Linked DNA regions of Lepisosteus oculatus. The protein of the gene in region 1 purifies or fractionates together with the protein of each later gene. This does not show direct contact. Links are inferred from orthologs where the notes say so. Each region holds a gene or a part of one and is shown on either strand. Other genes may lie near its edges. The genes, in order: llgl2, rad18 and pard6ga.

The links.
Region 2: the proteins of llgl2 (region 1) and rad18 purify together in Homo sapiens (affinity purification with mass spectrometry; 3 studies listed by BioGRID and IntAct, counting the BioPlex papers as one, with this or other methods). This does not show direct contact. The link is inferred for Lepisosteus oculatus from reciprocal best matches to the Homo sapiens genes LLGL2 and RAD18.
Region 3: the proteins of llgl2 (region 1) and pard6ga purify together in Homo sapiens (affinity purification with mass spectrometry; 4 studies listed by BioGRID and IntAct, counting the BioPlex papers as one, with this or other methods). This does not show direct contact. The link is inferred for Lepisosteus oculatus from reciprocal best matches to the Homo sapiens genes LLGL2 and PARD6G.

Annotation. Positions count from the first base shown.
Region 1 is NC_090704.1:36,051,111-36,058,562, reverse strand, and holds the start of llgl2 (LLGL scribble cell polarity complex component 2), read left to right. Parts: upstream 1-4,361; 5' UTR 4,362-4,602; intron 4,603-7,452. Other genes in the region: galk1 (galactokinase), read left to right, coding at 1-153, 1,019-1,169, 1,297-1,459, 2,320-2,391. UniProt on the Homo sapiens protein: Part of a complex with GPSM2/LGN, PRKCI/aPKC and PARD6B/Par-6, which may ensure the correct organization and orientation of bipolar spindles for normal cell division.
Region 2 is NC_090699.1:53,229,169-53,236,693, reverse strand, and holds the start of rad18 (E3 ubiquitin-protein ligase RAD18), read right to left. Parts: upstream 3,381-7,525; 5' UTR 3,035-3,380; coding exon 2,981-3,034; intron 2,454-2,980; coding exon 2,372-2,453; intron 2,083-2,371; coding exon 2,021-2,082; intron 1-2,020. UniProt on the Homo sapiens protein: E3 ubiquitin-protein ligase involved in postreplication repair of UV-damaged DNA. Postreplication repair functions in gap-filling of a daughter strand on replication of damaged DNA.
Region 3 is NC_090705.1:16,173,728-16,182,150, reverse strand, and holds the start of pard6ga (partitioning defective 6 homolog gamma), read left to right. Parts: upstream 1-5,085; 5' UTR 5,086-5,420; coding exon 5,421-5,460; intron 5,461-5,588; coding exon 5,589-5,737; intron 5,738-8,423. Other genes in the region: probable 2-ketogluconate reductase, read left to right, coding at 756-934, 1,923-2,019, 2,567-2,720. UniProt on the Homo sapiens protein: Adapter protein involved in asymmetrical cell division and cell polarization processes. May play a role in the formation of epithelial tight junctions. The PARD6-PARD3 complex links GTP-bound Rho small GTPases to atypical protein kinase C proteins.

The DNA.
Region 1 (7,452 bases):
CAGACCCCAAACTGGTTGTCCTCGTCGCCAACTCCAACGTGCGCCACTCTCTGACGGGCAGCGAGTACCCCAGCCGCAGGCGGCAGTGCGAGGAGGCCGCTGCTGGCCTGGGAAAGAGCAGTCTGCGGGAGGCCACACTGGCAGACCTGGAGCGTGAGTGAGAGGAGAGTGACGTCACACTCCGGCTGTGCTTTTGATCAGACTGCCTTGACTTGTCCCTGGTACAGTAATACCAGAACAGAACCTTGTGTACTTTGTAAACTGGAGCAAAATAGAAGGATTTATAGAAAAGAATACAAAGCAAGGTGACTCCATTATGAAGGCAAGAAGCCACTTAATTAAAAGCCAATTAATTCAGCTGAAATGTAGATGGAAATCCGCAACAGAAGAGCCAGTGATTCTCGTGGATCAGGGTTGCAGACACCATATTACTGGCTAAATACAAAAAAATAATATGTTAAATATGAGAAATTCCCAATCAACTAAAGAAAATGCAGTAACTGTGACTAATACAGATTATTGTGATTATTCATCCAATAGTACCGTGAAAGACAATGAGGTCCCATTAAAATTGACAACATAAGGCATCACATTGTCCTGGATTAGAGTTATTTTACTTTTGAAAAAAAAAAGAACTTGGACAGTAATGATGATAAGCAAGACGTTTTTTGGCCATAAATTCAATTTAGTTCAAAATACTATACTTGATTCATCCTGGGAGGGCAATTTAAGCAGCTAGCGGTACAACATAGAACACAAAGACAAAATTTAAGAAGTTAAAATTATTTTGATTAACATTTTGATTTCCACAATGTGGAAATAATTATTTTTTGGACTCCAAAGGTACCATATAAACTCCGGTGAGATTTCTTCACAATGACAAATGCACACTGTTATAGGGATGTTTGAGTGCCAGGAGAGCTGGAATCAGTGACCCTTGACCGATTTGGCAATAGAATGGGCTCCTTCCGCTCTATGGTTGCTCCGTGAACTCTGACCTGGATGGTGCACCCCGCAGGTGCCAAGGGACGACTGGACGGGGAGACGTACCGGCGGGCACGCCACGTGATCGAGGAGATCGAGCGCACCGCCCAGGCGGCGGCAGCGCTGAGGAAGGGGGAGTACCGCGAGTTTGGGAGGCTGATGGTAGAGAGTCACAATTCTCTCAGGTGAGCTGGGTGGCACAGGTCAAAACAGGGGGGAGCCAGGATGAGGAAGGGTTACAGTCTGATTCACACTGAGCCCGAATGGAGAAACAGCTGAAGTGATTGCGCGGTGTTTTGCGGTTCTCACCAGGGACCAGTATGAGGTCAGCTGCCCCGAGCTGGACCAGCTGGTTTCTGCGGCGATGGAGGTGGAGGGGGTGTACGGCAGCAGGATGACGGGCGGGGGGTTCGGGGGGTGCACCGTCACCCTGCTGGAGGCTTCGGCTGTGGACAGAGTCATACAGCACCTAAAGGTACCCACCCTGCTGTCTGGCACATGATCCAGCACAGATAGGAACCAGAATAGGAACTGAACTCACAGAGGAGCAGATTTTACTCACAAACAACCTGTCTGGTCCTCGAGAGTATTCTTCTCCCTTACTGAAATAGGTAGTGTCTTTTATTAAGTACACATAACAAATAAGAGGGCAGTGTAGTAGTAGGGCAGTGGTTAGCATTGCTGCCTTGCAATGCTGGAGTTCTGGGTTTGGGATCAGTTCCAGTCCTGGGGTGCTATCTGTGTGGAGTTTGTATATTCTCCGTGTTGGCATGGGTTTTCCCTAGGTGATCCAGTTTCCTCCCACTGTCCAGAGACAAACTGGTAGGTTAATTGGCTGCTGGTACAATTGGCCTTAGTGTGAGTGTGTGCTACTTTGTGTCTGTGTGTGCCCTGTGATAGACTGGCATCCTGTCTGGGATGTATCCTGCCTTGTGCCCATTGCTCTGGCTCCCTGGCAGCCCTGAATTGGATAAAGTGGCTAGAAGATGAATGGATGGATAAACCGTAGCAATGATCTAATTTTGATTAGAGTTTTTTTGTACAGGTTTGTGTGTTAACACTCTGTGCATGTTGGTCCTCCAGGAAAACTAGTGGTAGTGTTTAGAAATAGCTGTATTTGCTGTGAGGGTAGACAATTGGGACTTCAAACAGCATTTTCTCTCATATAACACCCAGGATTTGTAGTAACTGTAAGAGTATAAATGGAGTTTTTTCTGAATATAAATATAAAATGATAGAAAACTGAAGGAGGGACTATGTACTGTGTCTTTACATGTAACTGTCTGCAAACAGGTGAAGAGAGGAACTGAGTTTGCCTTGTGTTTGTTTCTACAGGAGCGATACACTGGAACACCGACCTTCTACATTACCACCCCATCAGAGGGAGCACGAGTCCTGAGCCTGTGAATGCAACCTGCCCTGCTGTGGCTGCCAAAGCAATAAATCAGCATTTGTTTTATTATGGAACCATTTCTTTTTTGCCTTCACTGAAATGCCATTACCTGTGGCACAATATTATTTTTCTCTAGTAATTGTGAACATGAAAACGGACAATAGATCTCTTTTTATTAGCACAGATACAAACTCCCAGTGCAGTGGCAAACAATGTATTAAATATGATTAAAATACAGGTGGTCCATAGATGTACAGTACTAATATAAAGCTAACAGGCTTGAAACATCCTTCTTTTCATTAAGACCCCTCTAAAAGGTCAAAGGTGTCTTGATGAGGTCTGATGTGTCCATCTTTAGGGACACTCTCCCACTGACGAACCATTCAAGACATCAGGAGAGAATACTGTTCTGCTACATTGACAGGCCTCATGCCCCTAGTCCTACGTGGTATGGTGGTGCGGTTCATAAATAATCTTAGATTGCCATCTCTAACATGTTGTTTACTGTCAGGGTAGATGCTTTGGCATGTACACTTTGTCCGTTTGACATTTGCATTCCATTAATACTATTTTGCATTGCTTCCTGTGAGCACAATGTGACAGTGATGTGTTGAATTTGTCCCACCCTTGTTCGGTGTCATGTAAAGGATCACTTGAGATTTGGGAATAATTAATTCCCTTCCCAGCCAGTGCTGCACACACACTTCGTGAACTAGACCAGAGAACAAACATGAAAGGTGGTGGAGTGACTTTGAAAAACTAAAATTGCTGTTTTATATGCAAATACTTTCTGTACTGCCGTCACCACAAGTCTGGATTGCTGAACAACAATCTCTTTAGTTCGCAGACTAATCCTTGTTTCTGAGCCAGCCACAATTGTTTTCCGAGTTATCATTGATTTAATCATTTGTTTTAAAAGCTTTAACTTGAGTGTAAAGCTTGAGTGTTAATCCTTAGCTAAATTCAAAATATTCAAAAGACTGCATGACACAACTCCCACGTGTAATAACAGTAGTCATCTGTCTTATTTTGTATTTGTTCTTACATTTTACTACTGCTTTTGTAGTGACAATATATTGACTTTGATGTTGACGTACTGTAGGTCAGTGTATTATCCTAACATATATTCCTTCTCAGAAAGATGGCTGATTTCACGTCCTAGTTTTTTGTGGTTATAAATGAAAAGCAAATGTAATAATTGATGAGGTGTTAAACTAGCAATATTTAAAACTTTTATTAAACTAAACCTATGTTAAGGGGTTCTGAGGAGACAGATTGGAGCTGAAGCAGTGTGCAGCTCGTTGTATTATAGTACGTAGCAAGATGGATATACATAATCTCCCAACAAGGGTCAAACGAGATCAAGGTGATCGCTGATTCATCTTTTCTGAGAATAGTGGTTAAAGTAAACAAAAGAGTTTCCTCAACAGTCGAATACGATCTTAAACCACGACACCTTATGTAAGCATGCTGCTGAAACACCGACAATGGGCAACGCCAATTAAAAATCACTTTTACTGTTTTTGAAAGACTTTACATTTGTTTTACTTACAACTGCAATCTTGTAAAATACGTATCAGCCTTCTGTCCCTTGTTGTCCCTTACGAAAAAACGAGAAAAGCAAAACACGTCGAAACGTAGTACAATTTTGAATAACTTTACATTTTGAATCCGGTACCTTAATGTGGGAGTTCAAAACCAGCAGGCAAATGAGATTTTTTTTCTATTCTTTCGGGGGGATCTGAGCGTTCAACGGAATAAAAGTTTTCAACTAGCAATAATCGCGACTCGGCTAAACCTCATAGGCTACGATACCGCCACTGTGCAATACAATTTTCGGTATTGGAGGGAGGTTTTCACTTCAAATTGTGGATCGCTGCCTAGAAATTGTAGGGAGTCCCCGAAACTTCATGAATAAGTGATGTCCCCTCCCATAAGGAGGAAAAAAACCCCGGAAAGAGGCTCTTGGGGAGGGGCGGAGCGAGGTGAGTCACCGAGAACAGACAGCTGAACCCGGGAGAGGGCAGCAGGAAATATCGAGGCTGCAGTTTGGGAAAGTAACGAAGGGGGTAAACACCAGGGAATACTTGGGAGGAGGAAGTGGGACTGGGCACAGGGACGCGGCTTTGGATTTTAGAAACCTGGAGAAGGCCTCAGCAAGGACCCGCAGGTTTTAGGAGCGAAAGTAACTGGTTTGGCCCCGGGGAAACGCAGTCGAGGTCCAGGTGAGTTTTTGCTGGGCCACGGCAGCAGTGTTTCCTCCTCCACAGGTGAAACTTGTGGGTCGGGATGCAGTGGGTCGAAAGTTGTTCTTGGATATATGGCGGGCATCCAGCAAGAAGCGAAAACTCAGGGTTGTCTGCATACAGGTAGCGGGGTACTCCGTAAGAAGTATCTGGTTACCGTTAACAGAAGGAGTGGGGAATTGTACGAAGAACCGCCCTAATCCACCTGCAAACACTCATTTTCTCAGTAGGGATAGATTTCTTTGAAAACGTTCTCTTCCGAAGAGAGTATTAAAAGGAATTAAAATAATTTAGGCACATGAGTGGTAGGCATCGTTACTTTTGTGAGGAGTCTACCCCAGTTGTTGACCTGAAAGACAAGGAGTATATAATAATGTATGTAAGCGAGAAACGTCTACCCAAAAAGTTGCATGGGTTGGTAAAAAATCACAAGCATATCGAATTCCATTCTGACGGGTTGTAAAGATGGACGAATGTTAGGAGTCTTAACTACAGGTAGTGTTTACCCAGAGGGGAAAGTGTTATTTTTGGTATTAATGTGAGTTTCAAATAATTCAACCCTAAGAAAAGGAGAAACTGGGATGACCAGCAGAAATCAGGCGAGGCATGCCGACCATGCAGGTGCTCAACTTAGAATAGGGAAACGAACGCGGAGGGAGCAGGAGATGAGTGAGTTTTTCTCGTTACTATCATACATGTATCGGTGGGTGGTGGGTTATGACGACCCCCTGCTTCGACATCCCCGGATGTCCACCAGCTGTAATTGAGAGGTGGGGGGGGAGAGACGTCATAGCGAAACGGCACCCGCCCCTAACTGCAGGTAACATGCTGGAGGTAGGCAGTAACAGCATGACCTCATCCGTTTGTTCAATAACCACGCCACCCAAGCATTTCCTTACCGGTATATATATATAGTTTTGGATAGATTTGCAAAACTTTATCTTCAAACATTTACATATGAATGTTAGATTTATCGAACTTCATATTCTGTTATAGTTTGCAAGATGTATGGAAAAGGAATATTTTCCTTTATATTTTAGTAATACTGGGCAGATATCACATCACAGATATCAAACAAAATGGTCTAATGTTCTTCCTTCCTTTAATGCTTAATAGGTGGAAAAGCAATATTGCTACTTAAGCCCCATTGAAACTTGAAAACTAACAAGGCAAAAACACAATTGATGTATGTAAAACATGTTAACTTGATGTTCAAATGTGTAATTACCTCTGGCAGCCCATTGTTTTGTGTGTTTTTTTTGTTCCTGTGTCTCCTTGGATGGGTTTGCTTCTTTGTATTATTTAACGTTGGGGGAAAAAGTTATAGATTAAAAAAATCAGATTCGCATTAACCAGCTGGATCATGGGCTGTTAGTGTGCATTGCTGGACTAAAAGTAGCTCTTTAATGCGTGACAGGTTACGTCCCCTTTTTAGAAACCTGTGCAAAATGTTTTTTTAATTTAAAATACAGATTGTGCGTAACCGTGAGAGACACTGGGCCAAAACAACCTGCTGCTTTGGTTTTTTGTCTTTGGCCGCTGTGGCTTGTTTTCAATGGGTATCGCCCGTTCGTAGCGAATCCTGCATTTCCTGCTTGCTGAGGTGGGGGTGCCCACCCTGGTTACCAGCCCAAACAGAGGGGCATCCCGCTTCTTTTGTCATTTAACCTGGGTGCGGTCAAACAGCGTTGTCTCTGAAGGAGATGGCGGCTGTGGAGTGTCAGGTGACCGGAGTGCTGAGTCAGTTGTCTTTTTCCACCCTAGAATGCCTATTTTTGCCTTGGACACCTGCTGTTCAGCAGTTTGTCCCCTGTGGGGTTCTCAGTGCCTCTGGAAGTGGATGGCGAAGCAAAGAGTACATACACTGCACAAGCTTTATATTTTGATCCGGCCTACACTTGCCATTGTCTCTTGCATCGGGACTTCTCTGCACCCCATGATGCTTTGTATTATACAACAGCCTGAAAATCAGAAAACCTGCAGTGGCTCAGAAAGCAGTGCATAGGAGGCAGGCATCATTTATTATAGACCTTCAGGTCTTCTGACACCTGAAGAAGGCTCCACGGACGAAACGTTGTTCTCTTTCTTCTTTTTTTCAGCATGGAATAAACCTATTATTTGTTCCTTTGCAGCCTACGCATGCTGACGCAGCTACCCACCTGAACTACTATCATTTATTATATATAACTATGATTGATGATTTCTATAGAAATAAATCACACTTCATACCTGCAACCATAACAGTGCACTGCAGACCTAGGATCTGTTGTGGAGTTTAATGCTTTCATGCAATACAGACCTTTCAGCAATTTAGCAGAGGGTTCACAGACCTTTCTTAAGTCAGTTGTAATGGTATCTTCCACATAATAGAATTAGGGGTATAAAAACATGAGTGAGTGTTTTGCTAAAGCCTAGTTCCTGGTTACTGTGATGGTAGTGTAACTGCGGCAAGAAACAGCAGGTTTACTCTTACTTGTTGCATATGCTGTAATATGCCTAGTTAACTATATAAAAGGGCATTTTGGTAGAGGCACTGTTTGAGGGTTACAGCTCATGCAAGATTGCATTCAGTAGGTCAGAAGAAAGAAAACTTATAAGTGAGTTCAGATGTGCCTTTAGGAATGCCCCTGGGATACGCGTTATGTCCTGGCAAGTTCTGCAGCTGGACAGTGTCTCTAAGTCTCTAAGCACTATAAGACCTTGATGCCCTTGGTGGGGGCGTGCCTGGTCACTGCCCCAAGCCCACACTGTCGTGAGGAGGGTTTACCTGCTGGGGCTGAGCATGATGCAGCTCTGATTGCTGCTGGTGTAGGGGGTTTGCGGCTTAAA
Region 2 (7,525 bases), on another chromosome or scaffold:
AGTAATGCTCACACCTGAAAAACATTACAAGGGTGTTTATGTTGAGTATGCTCAGCAGACATACAGAATAGGTTCCTAATGACACAGTATGTATCACAGATACACTATTGGGTTCAGGTCAGATGAATAGGTTGGTTGGTACCTCCTAAGCATAATTTGCTGTGACAGGAAAGTCTGACAAATGTGTGCAATATGTGATAATGAATTCTCACACATAAATGTGTAGGGCATAATTTTGACCAAAGTAAGGTGCAATGCATGTGCCAACAACATTGCCACTATTGTTTTGCACAGTCAAAGAGCCATAAAACAGCACTATCTGTGTCTAAACTGAGTGCTTAAGAAGGAGACCCGTGAGAAATACTTTCTGTTGTAATTATATATATATAATAATAATAATAATTGCTTACACTTATATAGCGCTTTTCTGGACACTCCACTCAAAGCGCTTATATATGAATTACACTGAATTGCAGTCCATACCATCACATCTCCAGCTTCAGATACACCCACGTTTGAAACAATGCGGATGGTACTTCTTTGCTTTATGCCCTATGCCCACTGTTGTGCTACATCAGAAAGGCCCATGACCCTCCACTTAATACAACGTTGTTCCAATTTTACTATGCACATTGCACCGTACCCTGTCAGAAATGTCTATGTCTACATTGTCTATAGCATTTTCTTGCCAGTGTCTGTATTTGCACCGAAGACCCAGAGAACAATATCCAGATCCTCTGTATACTTGTATATGGCTGGACTGACAAATTAACTTGAACTTGAATTTGCCTTGGGCCAGTTTCAGTTGCCCAAGCATGACATGTTGCCCTATGATGGTTATTCAACAGCAACCCTATGTGTACAATGGGTTCTTATGCCTTCATTCTCAAGACACTATCTTTCTGTCTGGGAGCTGGTCTGGATATGTAGACATCCAGGTGACTGGGCAGTAGGTTAGGATGCAGGACTATTTATTTCATCCTCCGAGATATCTCAATGGGATATACCTCAAACAGGTGTGGTGACTCATGGCCACTTGGTTACCGTCAGTAACAAGTTAAACTCGTGTGAAGCACACCAGTGTCTATTTCCCCTAAATGCTGACATACTTGCCCTCGGCATCCCAATGGCCTCTTCTTTTCTACCCTACCATGGCTGTGGAAGCCATGGGATTTTGTTTCAGCCATGTTTGTGCACACAGTTGCAGACGCAGTAACATCTGAACATCATAGTGATCACATCTACATTTGCATACATGCCTACGATACAAATGACTGAAATGGGTTTTGCACATTTGGTTAACTAATAGTGCAGAATTATTCTCTTTCTGATAAACTGAACCCCTTACTTTTGGAAAAATATTGGCAACAAGACCGTGTTGCCTTTTTAATGCCTCCCAGTATATAAAACTCAAGTCATGTTTTTTGTTTTCTCTCTCTAGCTTAAATGCTTGAACTGACAAAATATTTGAAACCATAAGAAGATAGTCTTAACCTTCCAAAATCAGTGGGGATTATAAAATAATCAGTTTGGTTCTGCTTTGTCAAATGCCATTGATGTTGATCAGATACTGAAATAACATACAAGCATAATAGTATTTAAAGCACTCAGATACAGCACCTTTACACCCAAAGAAAGCACCACAGACAAAACATTGTTTCTTTTCTTCTCTTTTCAGCGTGAAATCAACATTTACTTGTTCCCATACAGTATTTCCCCCTGACCAAAAACAGTGCAAGAAATAGAACTATTTAAATCTAATTAGAAATGTCAGCTTCTGGTTGTATAGAAACTGCTTACAGATATGAAATTTCATTCTTCCTTCAACATCCACATCAGATATTTCTTACCAAAATACTGTATGTAGGCCTGTTCATTGGTGACAACCACATGATTTCAGAAAACATTTAGGTATAGGTTTTCTAATCCACGCAAAATGCCATTGTTACATAAATATGCTATGGAACAATGGTAATTTGCACGTATAAGGAAAGTTTTAAAACAAGAATACTTTACTTACCGAATTACATACTGGACACTTCAGTTTGTAGGACAGAAATTTCCGTATACATAAAGAGCAAACTGAAAGCAACAAACATATTTTTAATATGAATCCACACTACAGCACAGTATAACAACACCATTGCAGGAGGCAGCTTCTATACTTAAAATGTTCAAGCACATTTTTTTTATAGAATTACATGATTTGAGCTCTCTGATATAATTAAAAAGGAACATTTAAAATCTATCGAAATTATTTAAGCACTTAGTAAAAAACGTGACCAAATAAACATTTTGGTTTAAAGTTTTGCTTGGAAACAAAAATAATGTACTTATGTTTTACAAATCTCAAACTGAAATGTGTACTCACAGTTATGGGAACAGTGCTGAACCATCATTGAAATGTCCAGATAATCAAAGCAGATTGGACATCTAAACAAAGAATCTAGATTCTAAAAACAAAGAGAGTCCATAACTTGAGTTGGCTATTCTACAAGCAACTACTGTACTCTGTAATTTCATCTACACTACAGTAAACTACTATTTATTTTCCATTCTTAAGAACGACGCACACAACAGTGTAAATATTTTACAAAGTGAAACATCACAGCTCCTTGAATGAAATAAAAGGTGCGATGGCAAAAAGACTGCTGTGTAAATACGAGCACATAAACTGTAGTATTTGGTTACAAATGATAGGCCAATCCAAAATGCTTGAAAAAGGAAAAATCCGCAGTTTGAAAATAATCGCAACTTTTATTACCTAAAAAAATATTACCTAAGTTCAAAGGATCTGTTCTCACGGTGCACACTTAACAGTAAGTTTCGGTTGTCTCATGACCTACTACTTCTTGACATCACATGGTATCAATTTTGTGGATATATAGCATAAACGTATATTAAGGCACTTTGCTTACACTAAGGAGCATTAATCATACAGTGCCTAAATAAGAGTTGCACTGACGTTTCCTTCACTTACTTTGAGATGACACAAATTAGGGGGGATTTCCGCTTCAGTAAAGCTTTGTGACATTTTATAAACACTTGATAAAATACTCCTTCTTTAACTTCAAATTTTAAGAAAAAGAACCTGACTGCAAATACACTTATTATTTAACACTCCCGCGCCAGTGCCGGAAGTTGAGTAAAAGCTTCCGCAGTGAAAATCGTCACTTCCTGCAGTGAAGAGTGAACTGGATGTTGTAGGCTTGATAGAATCTGCAATGATCACAGTACATTACTAATTTTTACGTATGTTTACGGCTGTAAACCTTAGTGTACGAAGTTCCACTGTCTTTATCCAATCTTACTTCTTCTATTCCTATGTTAGTAGCACAAATGAGCGCAGAGAAAATAATTACTGTTTCCATTGAGCTTCTACACATAGGACATTTGCAGTGCAAGCACTCAAGAGTGCCGCGCGTCCATGACAAAATCGCCTCCACCGGAAAATAAGCGAAAAATAAGGAACTGCCCCAAAACGAAAATCACTGGTGAGGCGGGCCTTTCACCCCCACTTCGGTCAGGTGCATTATTAGATCTCAAAAGAACTTTAAAAACTGTGATACCTCGAAGCGCCTGCAGGTTCCTATTTACTGATTTACAGGGCATTCTCTTATCAACAGGAGGGTTATTTTGGTAATAATGGGCTAGTTCTTTATTTAGCAATGTCAAGTGAATACAAATTATTTTTTTTATAATGGAACAAGTAATAGGTTTATTCCATGCTGAAAAAAAGAAGAAAGAGAACACAACCTGAACTATTTTTTATAATGATGACCTGGGGAGCCATTTATTCAGCAGGTTACTGACTGGAGTAATTTGAGTGAATTACCTTGCTTAAGGGTACAATGGCAGTGTCTTACCTGGGATATGAACTCACAGCTATCTGGACTGGATTCCAGAGTCCTAATTACTTCTCCATGCTGCACATTCAAATTGCCTAAAAGAAGATCTTGTGTAATGGAGAGGTATTTTTTATCACCAATTCAGAAATAATTATAATAATAAAAAACATTTTTATTTTATATAGCGCCTTTAAAGGTGGCTTCTCAAAGCGCTTTACAGAATGACAACAACAATAAATAAAACAAATACACAAGATAAAACACAATTACAATACACAGAGGAGACCATGGATGGTGGTTCTAAGTATAGTAGGAGCAGAGGGGTAAAGAATGGAACCAGTTAAGTAAAGGCTCTTATGAGTCTGGATTTGAAGGAGTTAAGAGGAGGTGACTCCGATATCCTTGGGAAGAGAGTTCCAGAGCTTGGGGGCATAGCAGGAGATGGCCCTGTCACTCATAGAATGTTGAAGGGCTTGGGGAACAGTTAGGAGACCAGAATTAGAAGAGGTTGCGAGGTGGGAAGTAGGGCGATAATAGTTCAGACAGGTACTGAAGTGTCAAACCATGCAGAACCTTATAGGTGAGCATGAGGATTTTAAAGTCCACATGGAATTTGACAAAAAGCCAGTGCAAGGACTCCAGGATAGGAGTATTGTGATCACTTGCACTAGACCTGGTCAGGATCCTGGCTGCCAAATTTTGGACTTACTGCAGTTTGTTCAATGTAGATTTAGATACCTCAGCGAGCAGAGCATTACAGTAGTCAGTTCAGGAGAACACAAATGTGTTGATCAGCTTTTCAGCCACAGTTAGTGGCTGAAAAATAACTGTTTTAATCTATGACAACTAATGAATATTTTGCGTATTTCCCATCTACCTGAAGTTTGGGTGAATTCATTGCAGACTATACTCAGACACCCTTGAACAATGACATACAGTATTAAGCAATGAATTGTATTGTGGAGTTAAATGATTTGGAATTCTAATCAGGTAGTCCAGTATAAGAAGCCATTAATCACGTGTCTTGGATCAGAGATACAGTCATTTTCAAGTACACACTCACATAGGGTCCATAATAACAAAAATTCAATTTCCAATAATAAAGCACCATCTATTTTTGAAAGCTGACCTGACTGTTTATTCTGTTTTGCATCATTACTGTACCCTCTCTTGGGGTGAGTGTCAAGTTAGGAATACAGTATGCTTCTCAGTATTAACCTAAAGGAGAGTGTTTTCTTACTAAAAACAATCTTTCTGATCTTCATCTGTACATAATTATCTGAACTCATTCAGTCATATGCATACTAACCTCTGGGGGATGAAAAATACTTTTCATTTTGTGGATCAAACTAAACCAAGTATTCAAGTATCTTCACCATGTTCCTGCATCATCATCATCACCACCACCAACATCTAGCACCCAGCTGGATCACGCAATGTCAGCCAAAATGCACCAGTAGACATCAGATGTCAGTGGGGAGGAGAACATAGTAGTGAAGCCAATTCATAGATGGGGATTATTAGGAGGGCATTATTGGTAAAGGCCAAGGTAACATTTGGCCAGGACACTGGGATAACACCCCAACTCTTTTTTTGAGAAATGCCCTGGGATTTTTAGTGGCCACAGACATTTGCTTTACATCTCATCCAATACTATTTTACAGTATATTGTATAGCTGCAGTATATATGAATTAGATACAGTATATCCAATATTATATAATAGCTTTGTTTGCCATGATGGTCACAAAATGATAGTATATAAAAAAGTAGTTTAAAATTATTTGTTTTGAAAGAATATACATTGTCCATACAATTTCCCTACGACACTTCCTGAGCTTTTGCAGAAAACTGAATTAAAGTCAAAACCCATTTTGTGGATGTTTTAAAGTAAACAAAGTTATGGATGGGGGGTCTATATTTAAGATACTGATCCACAAAGCAGGCAGTTTTATTGGTAATGTGGGGAAGAACATTGAGCTGTATTATTATTTTGAGAATAACCTCTTTAAGAACATAATGGCTAAAAATAAATCTGAGCTTTCTGATCGTATCCTTTGCCTTGACACAGAGGATTAACATTCCCATTTCCATCTGATCTAGACCAGTTACAGTAGACTAGACTGAAAACTGTCTCTCAGAAAAAAAAAAATCAATAAACTGAAGTGGTGAGGGAAGCAGAAACAAGGTCAACAAGTCGGGCTTTTGTTAATTCAACAGAAGAACAGCTCCAAGCATTGCATTTATTAAATACTGACACCCATACTACCTTTACACATCTAGATTCTCATAACTCTACAATTGGATTTTCAGTTTTCATTTTGAAAGTTAACCTGTGCCCAGTTCACAAGACTGTTCACAACATTTCACAACACGGACTTTTAAATGCCGTCTTTATCACTTGTTAAGAAGTTAAAATGTGGTTTTGTAGAATGAATGCAGTAATCTAGTTTCTTAAAATCAAAATGTGTCTTTCTCTTGTCTCATCCTATTGAGGCTGCTGTGAATAAAGCCATTTCTAAATCTAATATTTCCGTTGCCCATCTGTGTTCTATAAACTATGTGTCATGTATCCAGTACATGGATATAAATCAAGAGACCGTCATTACATTTGTTATATAATTCAAAAGCCTAGTGGCATTAAAAAGACAGTAAATAAATTAAGAGTGTTATAATTCATGACTCAGAACTGAAGCACCATATAGTGGTTTTCTATTCTATACTTTCTATATTACAATTTAATAACATTCAACTCATTAATCAATTTTAAAGGTGTTTATTGCAATCTGACTTCTTTAAATACCCAGTTTCTGAAATACATTTATGTTCAGTCCAGTGTTTGGTGTCATTATATTTAATAGTGTCAAAACACGTGAAATGACCTTTTCCTTTCAGTTTCCAATTTAACTTAGATGCCTACAGTGTACAAGATGCTGTTCTCTTTTACTGAACATTACAGCTGAGCAGGTTGCTAATGATAACTATATCTCTTACAGGCAGTGAGTGCCACGTGCTCGGAAAACACATGTTCCTTAGAGTGATGTGGACTTTTCTATTAATCTTTAAGATTAACACTACGCTTTCTTCTGAACTTTTGTCTCAAAAATGTACCTTTAAAATACATTAATTGGAAGTTGCTAGGCAAACATAAGTAGAATTAAAATATGTTTTTTTTTTCTTTGCATCTCTGAGCTGCTGACCTCCAGCATCCCACTGATATGATGGTTTTCTAGGGTCTTTCATTTTTAACAACTCAAATGTTCTTTCTCTATGACATACTGCCACTGAAAATAGAGCATTTATTACTTCTTAAGCTCCATGTGCTGACATGTACTGTGCAGCACAGAAGCTCATAAAGAATGGTGAAGTGCTACAAGAACTGCCTTTGCATGGCTTGGATATAGTTCTCACATAAAACTAGAAAATTTGACAAGAACCCATTATCCATCAGTAGTTCCCTGGCAACCTCTGACTTTCAGTTATTTAATTATATATAGATTTTTACTTTCAGGGAGTCTGTTTGGAACTGCAGTTTATTGGTAGTCATGGAACAGATTTGAATAATATCCCTTAGGGTACTGATATTCACCCATGGAGGCCTGCCATGTCCTCTGGTTTTCATTCCATGCTGGAGTCTTAATAACTTTAAGAAATTGTTCACTAAATTGGTCTACATTAC
Region 3 (8,423 bases), on another chromosome or scaffold:
ACCAGACTAATAGGGGGGAAGGTGTGCCCATTGTTGCCAAATGTCCATTAAATAACTGATCCATTTTCAAATGAAATTCCCATTTTAATTTGTGGCAATCTTAGATCCCACTTTGCATTCTTAGCAGACGTTACAGGCCTCTCCACCTCACTAGCTGCAGTGATAACATCATGATGCTGGGTGACTTCAATATACTGTACACAAGGGAGGCTTGCAAGTCAAGAGCTCTCTGTCTCTTCTTGACTGCTTAGCATTTACTAAACACCTATATGACCCCACCCTTTAATTAGTTAATACTAGTGGTGTGAAAATTCAAAACTTTATATTTGTTAATAAGCTCCAACTCTTTATATTCAATCACACATTCCCTTTGTAGAGCGATTTTGAACCTTGACGGATAAACTCTTCAGTTGTAACTAGATTTAATGGTATTGCAAGTACAAATCTCAGTGGTTCAGGGATTGTAGAAGAAGAGTAAAGTATTAGTCATTCGTATTAATAAAATCATTAATAATAAAGTAATGTCTAATGTTTAATGCCTACATACCATTCAAAGGAGGCTGTTTTTGAATGTGAGATGACATCAGGAAAGGATGTTAGGTAAGAGAAATGAAACATTTTATTTCAGGTACAAAAATACAGTAGTTAATGAGTATTCAAGCTCTAATAACAAAGTACCATCTTCCATAATTAAACAGCAGTACTGTATTGAGTATTGCCCTCGGTGTCTGTCACTGAGAGTTGTCTCCACGCAGGAAAGTAGAGGAGGAGAGAGCTGTGGAAGCGCATTACTGTGAGAAGATGGACGAGCTGCTGCAAAAGTCTGATTTTGTCATGCTAGTGGTAAACCTGTCACCACAGACACACAAATTGATAGGGGCCAGGGAGCTGAGCCTGATGAAGCCCACCAGCACACTCATCAACATCAGCAGAGGTAGGTGCTTGAATGAAAAACACAAAAAGACAGAACCCTTCAAAAATGCACATTTTCAGGTTTTGGTAGTGTTATCAGGAATTGAAAAGAAACATTAAATAGCACATTCAGATTTCATTTTTTAAGCATAACATAGCACAGTCTTGACTGTGGATATTTTACAAACTTCTGGAAGGAAGTCAGTACTGTGGGAAACAATAACAATAAGCTGCATTATGAAAAATGTATTACAGTATTTGTTTGTGGTTGGTATTTCTAAACAATTCTTTGACCGACAAAGACAACTTCCCATGCAAAGCTACCAGCACCACATAACTGAGCAAAATAATTAAAATGAGTTTTGCTCCAAAAAGTCAGTGGCAGATATTTCCGTGGCAAAATAAGGACAATAATTAGCCAAATGGCAGCTTATTTACCCCATGTCAAATGGGACTACTTCTGTGACAAAGAGAAGCAGATGTTTTGTGCTTTAGTGTAATTGGGTATCTTCCTAGGGTCTGAGTTGGACCTGAGCAACAGATGGACAGGTGAATGTATCATAGGAGCTTGTATTGTAAACCTGTCTTCATTCACACTTCACAGCAACAGGAGCTGTTACAGGAAGGCTGAGTCTCATTAATTGGTCATTCCAAAGTGGTTGGGTATATAATCATTGACTACTCAAATAAACATTCATTAAAATTGAGATTTATTAAAAGTAATTCAAATTAAACTGACTTCAACAGGTGTAATCATACCCCTCTGTGGATGCCACAGGCAGTTTGTTAGTCCTCGTGCTGATGTGAAGAAATAATTCAGTAATCATCTAATAATAAGAGGGAAACAGAAGCTGTCAGGGGACAATAGTTTTATTACTCCTTTTCATGTGCTCTCGCATACGGCCTAGTTTCCATATGTAAAAATTAGTGTTTTAACTGGCATGTTTTCCAGTTGGCTGGTTTAAGTTATGTATTGTTAAAGACAAACATGTTCTCCTTCTTGGCCGAAGGCTTGGTGGTGGACCAGGATGCCCTGGTAGATGCGCTTCAGAAAGGAGTGATTGGAGCTGCAGCTCTGGATGTCACTTACCCTGAACCTCTGCCAAGGTCAGTCTGTGCAAATCACCCCCTGTCATTGCTCTGTCATTGTAGCCCACAGTTCTTTTCTGTTCCCTGCTTAACCAGGGGCTGTGGCGGCACTGGAGGTTAAGTCTGCAGCTTCACAGTTCTTGTGTCCAGAGTTCAGTTTCAGTGTGGCCTGCCTTCTGTGTGGTTTGTGCATGTTGTTTTTGGATTTGTCAGAGTTTTTTCTGAGTGCTCCTTCCTGAGTGATGACCCTGGTATTTCAACTGTGATCAATATATATGTTGCCTTGGTCAGGGTGACTGATTTACTTGCGCAGCTCAGCTTCCTCAGCCAGTGTTGTCTTCTCTGTATAGCAAGAATTTGATGGTGACAGGCAGTTTATTGATTCGTAATCGTAAGCGGAGTTTAAGTGTTCTTATCTGGAAAGCCAAATCGGGGAAGAGGACCACCTTAAAGGGGCAACTAGTGACACAGAATGAACACTTCAAAAGTTAGTGGCAATATCACAGCCTGTGGAGCGATACCTAGTGACATCAACATATTGTGCTGCGGTTCTTTGCCTCTATAGAGATCACCCCTTGCTCGGGCTTGAGAATGTCATTGTGCTGCCGCACATGGGAACCCATACTTTTGAGACAACCCAGAAGATGGTGGAGAGAATGGTCACTAATGCCCTGGCTGTCCTCAGCGGAAACTCAGCCCCTGATGAGATGCAGTCATAATGCCAGGGGTGGGAAGGGTTCTGCGTTGGATCTGGAGTTTCAGGAACCCAACACTCAAGAACTGGACCTGCCTAGCACAGCACTGGAAATAACCTGACACTGTGTTCTTCTTGTACTGTAACTATGCAAGTTCTCTGGGAGTTGGAGAACAGGCCTGTCTACAATCACATGTATCTCATCAGTTATAGATGTGTTATAGACATGTTATAGATGTGTAATGGACACAACTGTTCACCTGAGCACAACTGTGGGTGGCTCCCTTGTTATTGGTAGTTAAAGCTGATTTCAGGATGGTTTCAACAGTTGTGAAAATCTCAAAGGATAAAATGACTCTATGACATTGCCTGAAAGCACAGTGAAATCCTAATAATAGTATGTTTTTTTTTCTGTTTCTCTCTCATACAGGTTTTATGCTTATGGTTTTAAATAATAATCCTAGTGTAAAAAGGTTAACATAAATTTAAAGATAAACTACAAATTGGAATGACTAATATCTGTGTGTTTAAAAAATTAAGATTCATTCATATTTTACATGAAATGTATAGTATGTATGTGCAAAGTCACAGCGTCTCTATTCAGGAGTTGACGCTCTTGAGTAAAGTAATAACAGTGTGGTGCAAGCACTTGTTGGGTGCATTAAGATTTCAGTTTTCCTCTTTGTCGAATTCCTGGGAAATTATGCAGGAACAAATGTTGTCCACTAGAGGGGAGTCTGAGCCACTTGTACACAATTGTAGACCGTCTGATTCCGTACATTCGCTTTTACTTTTCTAATGATTTTCTATGCTATTCATACTCTTCGCAATACATTTTGTCTTTTACTTTGGTTTATCTGTATGTCTAACGTGCACCTGAAGATTATATACTTTATTTCCACAAAATACCTCAGATTAAATTCTATGTCAATAATTTATTATTATAACATATTATAACATCACCAAAAATGTTAGGATATTTTCTTAAATGTACATTGTAAATCAACATAAATAAAAATGTTAAAACTTTTGTCTTGCATGTTTTTCTGCGATGACATGTCAAAGTGTTTCATATTGTGAATTATTATTGCAACTCTACTGCAGACATTCTAGGTCCTGACCGGTTAAGTGAATAAAAAACTCAGAATGAAAACCTGCTTTAAGGAACAGAGTATCACTGTCCTATGTTCCTCTTGTTTTTCATGTTAAACAAGGATGAAAAAAAGAACTATGAACTGTCAGAGTAAACTTTATAACTCATTCATATACACACGTCCCTGTACGTTCCACACCATTTTTTTTGTAAATAGTTAAATCAGTAGAAATCGTATTTGCCACTTGCAATAACTGAAAAAAAAAATTGATGAAGGTTGATTTATTTTGGATTTTGGAAGTGAATAGTAGTGTTACAGGGTGAATGATCCCAATACATGTCTGTGATCCTATGAAAAGTGGCTGTTTGTCCACATCAATCATTTGAGAAACAATGTTTTCATTAATAATGAATAGGAGAGCTTTCAGTGACATTACCACAGTTAAGTATCATTAGGTGTTACTGCCTCAGGGTCACTGCATGGAACAGGTGAAGCTGTCACACTGTGAGTGGCAGGGAGGAGGTGTCCAGAGACAAAGAGACAGCTGTCAGACTTGTCTCTGTGCTGACAGGGAGCAGTAACCATGGAGACAGCTATGGCCTCTGTTGGCCAAGCCTCCTGAGACCCCACACAGACTGACCTGGCTCTGTTTTGAGTGGTGCAGCATTAAAAACATAAAATATGCTGCAAAATACCTCAATAACAAAACAAAAGAGTGCCTGAATGAAGATTTATAGATTTATAGTAGTAGGAAGAGAAGGCTTTGAGCAGTCTGTCCCATGATACACTTTAACTTCATTCCCAAAACATCACATTTGTTATTGGCAGCTCCCTCTAAAAATAAATGAATTAAGGATATATCATATTACCAAAGTGGGTCCACAGAGTGTCATGCTATAAAATGAGGTGACTTTGAACATATTTTAAGTGCTTTCCTTAAATTGTGAAATAGTTTACTCAGGTATCATGGTGGCAAGACAGTTAGCACTGTTGTCTTACAACTCGAGGGTTCAATTCTGGACTCCTTCTGTGTGGATTTGACATGTTCCTCTGATGCTATCCTTTCTTTTCTCCTTCTAAAAACTTTCTGCTTGGGTTGTTCCTGCACACTTATCTATGTGTTTTCCCTGCACTAATCTAGCCTCCCGTCCAGAGTGAATAAGCAGCTTTCTGACACTGCAGATTCATCCGCAACTGTTTTCAGCAAACATAACATAAATAACTTTTATTCTAGGAGTAACTTACACGCCCGTCCCCCCTTCATAACATCACAAAAGTCCTACCCCCTACCGGTCCTAATTCCTAACGTCGTCAAAGTGTGATCATTGCATTGCGTTACTGTGTACTTTTCTCAAACTTTCAGCTTTACGGCAAAGCTAGTACAACAGGCCTATTTTACAAATCTCAATGCGTCCGCCGATCGCTTTAGATGCTATTTTGAATACATCCCTCTGTGTACAAGACACAAACTATATTTTGGTTAAAAAAAAGTAACTTCTTCCAAAACTTCCGCTGAGGGCGCGCACAGTCCTGAAACAACCGCGTCCTCTGCTGCGGCGGAGGATACACAGCCCTCCGCCACAAGAGCAGACAGATTTGGGGAGTGTTTGTATCCTTGCTGGGGCGCGGTGATGTCATCGCAAACTTCACTCACTCCCCCATTCAGAGGCAGTGAGTTCTACTGCTCTTCATTTCGGCTTTCCTGAAACACAGGCGAGCTAGCAACCGAGTGCTACGGATCCTCGGGATACAGTCAACGGAGAAACTTTCAACTTTCTTTTCTTCCGCTCACCACACAGGACAGAGGAATTCACTGACAGATCTGCAAGCCCTGGTTTCCGAGGGCGAGTGGGAACTTCTGAAAGTAACCAAAACAATGAACAGGAGTTTTAATAAATCCCAGTCCTTACGATACTTGGACTGCACGGCTGTTGAAGTAAAAAGCAAGGTAAGGATTTGTTTTATCGTGGCGGGGGTACCTCTATTTAGTTAAACTCCTTATTTACTCGTCTCTTAATTTGTGGATGCTGCAAACGATTGAGATCTTTAATTGCAAATGAGTTCGCTCGCGCTTACTAAAGTGCAATTTGGAATTGCGCATTCCTGTGTTTTCGAAACCAATTACCAGTTGGTAAATGTTTGCAATCCATCTCGGTTAAATGCTCTCCCTCCCTTTTTAGAAATCTTTGCGGTTTTTGCTGAGCTCTTACTGCGCTTTAGTGATGTGGAGTGCGAAAAACGCACGCTAGGCAGAATCCGTGTTTAAACAGCCAAGCTGGGACCTGGATGAATTTGCACGCACAAGCGAAGGATTTCGCCTGGTAGCGAACGAGATGGCAGATCCATGGACACTGAGCTCCCACGATTTTCAGGAAAAACTGGAAATGAAAAGGCTACAAGGAAAGGGCCGAATAAAACACGTATCACCCCCACCCCCAAAGAAACCCCGCTACGCCTTTCTATTCAGAAACGAAGATAACTGCCGTGACTTGTTGCCGGAGGAGCAAATCCAGCGTGCTCTGTGACTCAGACTGGGGGTTTAATTCGATAAATGTTTTTTTACGATTTGGCTGCTTGAACTTGCTTATGCCCAGTGACTCATCTCTCGGAGCGGTCTTTGTCAACCACCTGTATTCATTCTTTGGCCGTATTGTCCAACTTCTCAGGCGGATTCCAAGAAACTAGGCTATCTTGTCTGGCTGTAATTAGGCGTCCTGTTGCTAAGCTATGGTGTTAAGATATGTATTGCTTCTCGACATAATGCTTAATATTGCTAACACACTATCCCAGAACTGGGTAGATCAATTTCCTAATTGTGATGTTCTTTGGAAAGTTGCCTTTAACTTTCGAACCCCCCCCAAAAAAAAGAACTAGCGTTTTGCTGTTCTCGTGGGTCACACGAGCCGCCATTAATAATTATATCTATACCTTCATACCTGCGTCGAAACCACGTTGAGTTGGAAATGCGCTGCAATCCACTGTTTGTTTCAGAGCTTTGTCGCTTTAACAGCTCTTGAAGGGATTATTATTCACACAGTACATGCGTTCGGAAGCTTAAATTTTTAGTTTATTTAAGCCATAATTAAAGGAAAAGTATCATGTTGTCTTATCAGGTATGTAGCTGATGTTGTAAACATGCCGTGACAAAGCTCTGCACATAGCTCTATAAGGGCTAGGAGTGTTAAAATTAATTGTGATCATTTAGGCGCAGTGTTTGGATGAACATGCTTTTTCTTGTTGCCCAGCTATTCTAAAGGTAGAATTAAGCAACGTGACTTTTTTCCCAGTGAATAATATTTTGACACAATTCCTTGCGTTTAGCTTTACACTTCTCATTCCACAATTCTTTTGTGGGGAAGACGACCCACTTCATCAGAAGTACGGGCCCCATATTATGATTGACATGTCTCTGCCGTTCAGCACCAGCACCCCCCCGACACAGCAGGTCCAGTGTCGATGTGAGGAATTGCTTATTCCATTGAATTACAGAGGACTGTAAGGAAAGCCTGATTGTTGAAGCCTGGAGTGAAATTTAGCCAGGATGCTAGTCAACACCCCTATTCTTCCAGTAAGCGCCATGGGCTCTTTATGTAGCACGTTTAATGTCTTATTTCTGCAGCACAGTTTCCTTACTGGGGCATTAATCTTGTAAGTCTTGGTGTGGGATGTAATTATTACAGTCTGCACGTGAAGCAGAGGTTGCAGTAGTACTTAGTGACGTCTTTGTCTAAGCAGCAGTAGTTATTTAAGGAGCAAGAGTGTTGGTAGATTTGTATCTCCAGAGCCATAAATACCATTTGATTAGCATAAAGGCATATTGCTAAAGAAATATCTAGAAGGTGAGGTTTATAGCATGGGAATGTAGATTTTGCCACAGTGCATTGAAACCTAGGTAGGTTTCAGAAGATGAAGAGCAACAGTCTTATCAGTCACTTTATTGTCTTGAATTGATCATTCTGAATAGCATCAGTTCAGATACTCTTCAAGCAGGAGACTGGAACTAATAGCTGGCTGGCTTCTCTTGCCCCTGTGTACTGTAGCGCCCACAGTTGTCCCACACTCTGCAGAAAGTGCTTCACACCTGCCTTTGCCCCATGTTGTGACCGCAGGGTTGAATTCATGACTACCTGCACCCTGAGCTAAAGTGTATCCCCTTGGTTGACTGATCTTTTGAGCTTTGGACAGCATCATGAATATGGTTGTTGTCACTCCACATTTGTTGGCAATTTGAATTAAAGGAAACAAAAAGCCCTTGGCAAAGATCATAAGAAACAATATGTAAGCCATTGTAAAGCTCTCCAGACGTTTTTTTTAACAACACAGATTAAATGAAAATAATTAAATTCCTAACTAGCGTCATTTAAGGGAGCTGTGATTTCTAAAAAGCTATTTTGCACATTTTTGAGATTCATATGCCATTTTTAAAAGATAACTTTGTTTATATGTCTGTGTGCTTTTGCCTTTCTTCATTCACTTCCAGTCCGTAAACCCCCAGGGCTTTTTGTCCAGCTGAGCCAGCCCAGCTCCACTGCTTTTGCACTGAAAGTCCAGCATGAAACAACTGCAAACAGGCTCAGGACTTGGTTTTTGCTGCAGGGAATATAGAGCTTTGTGGGTTGAATGGACCTTTCTAA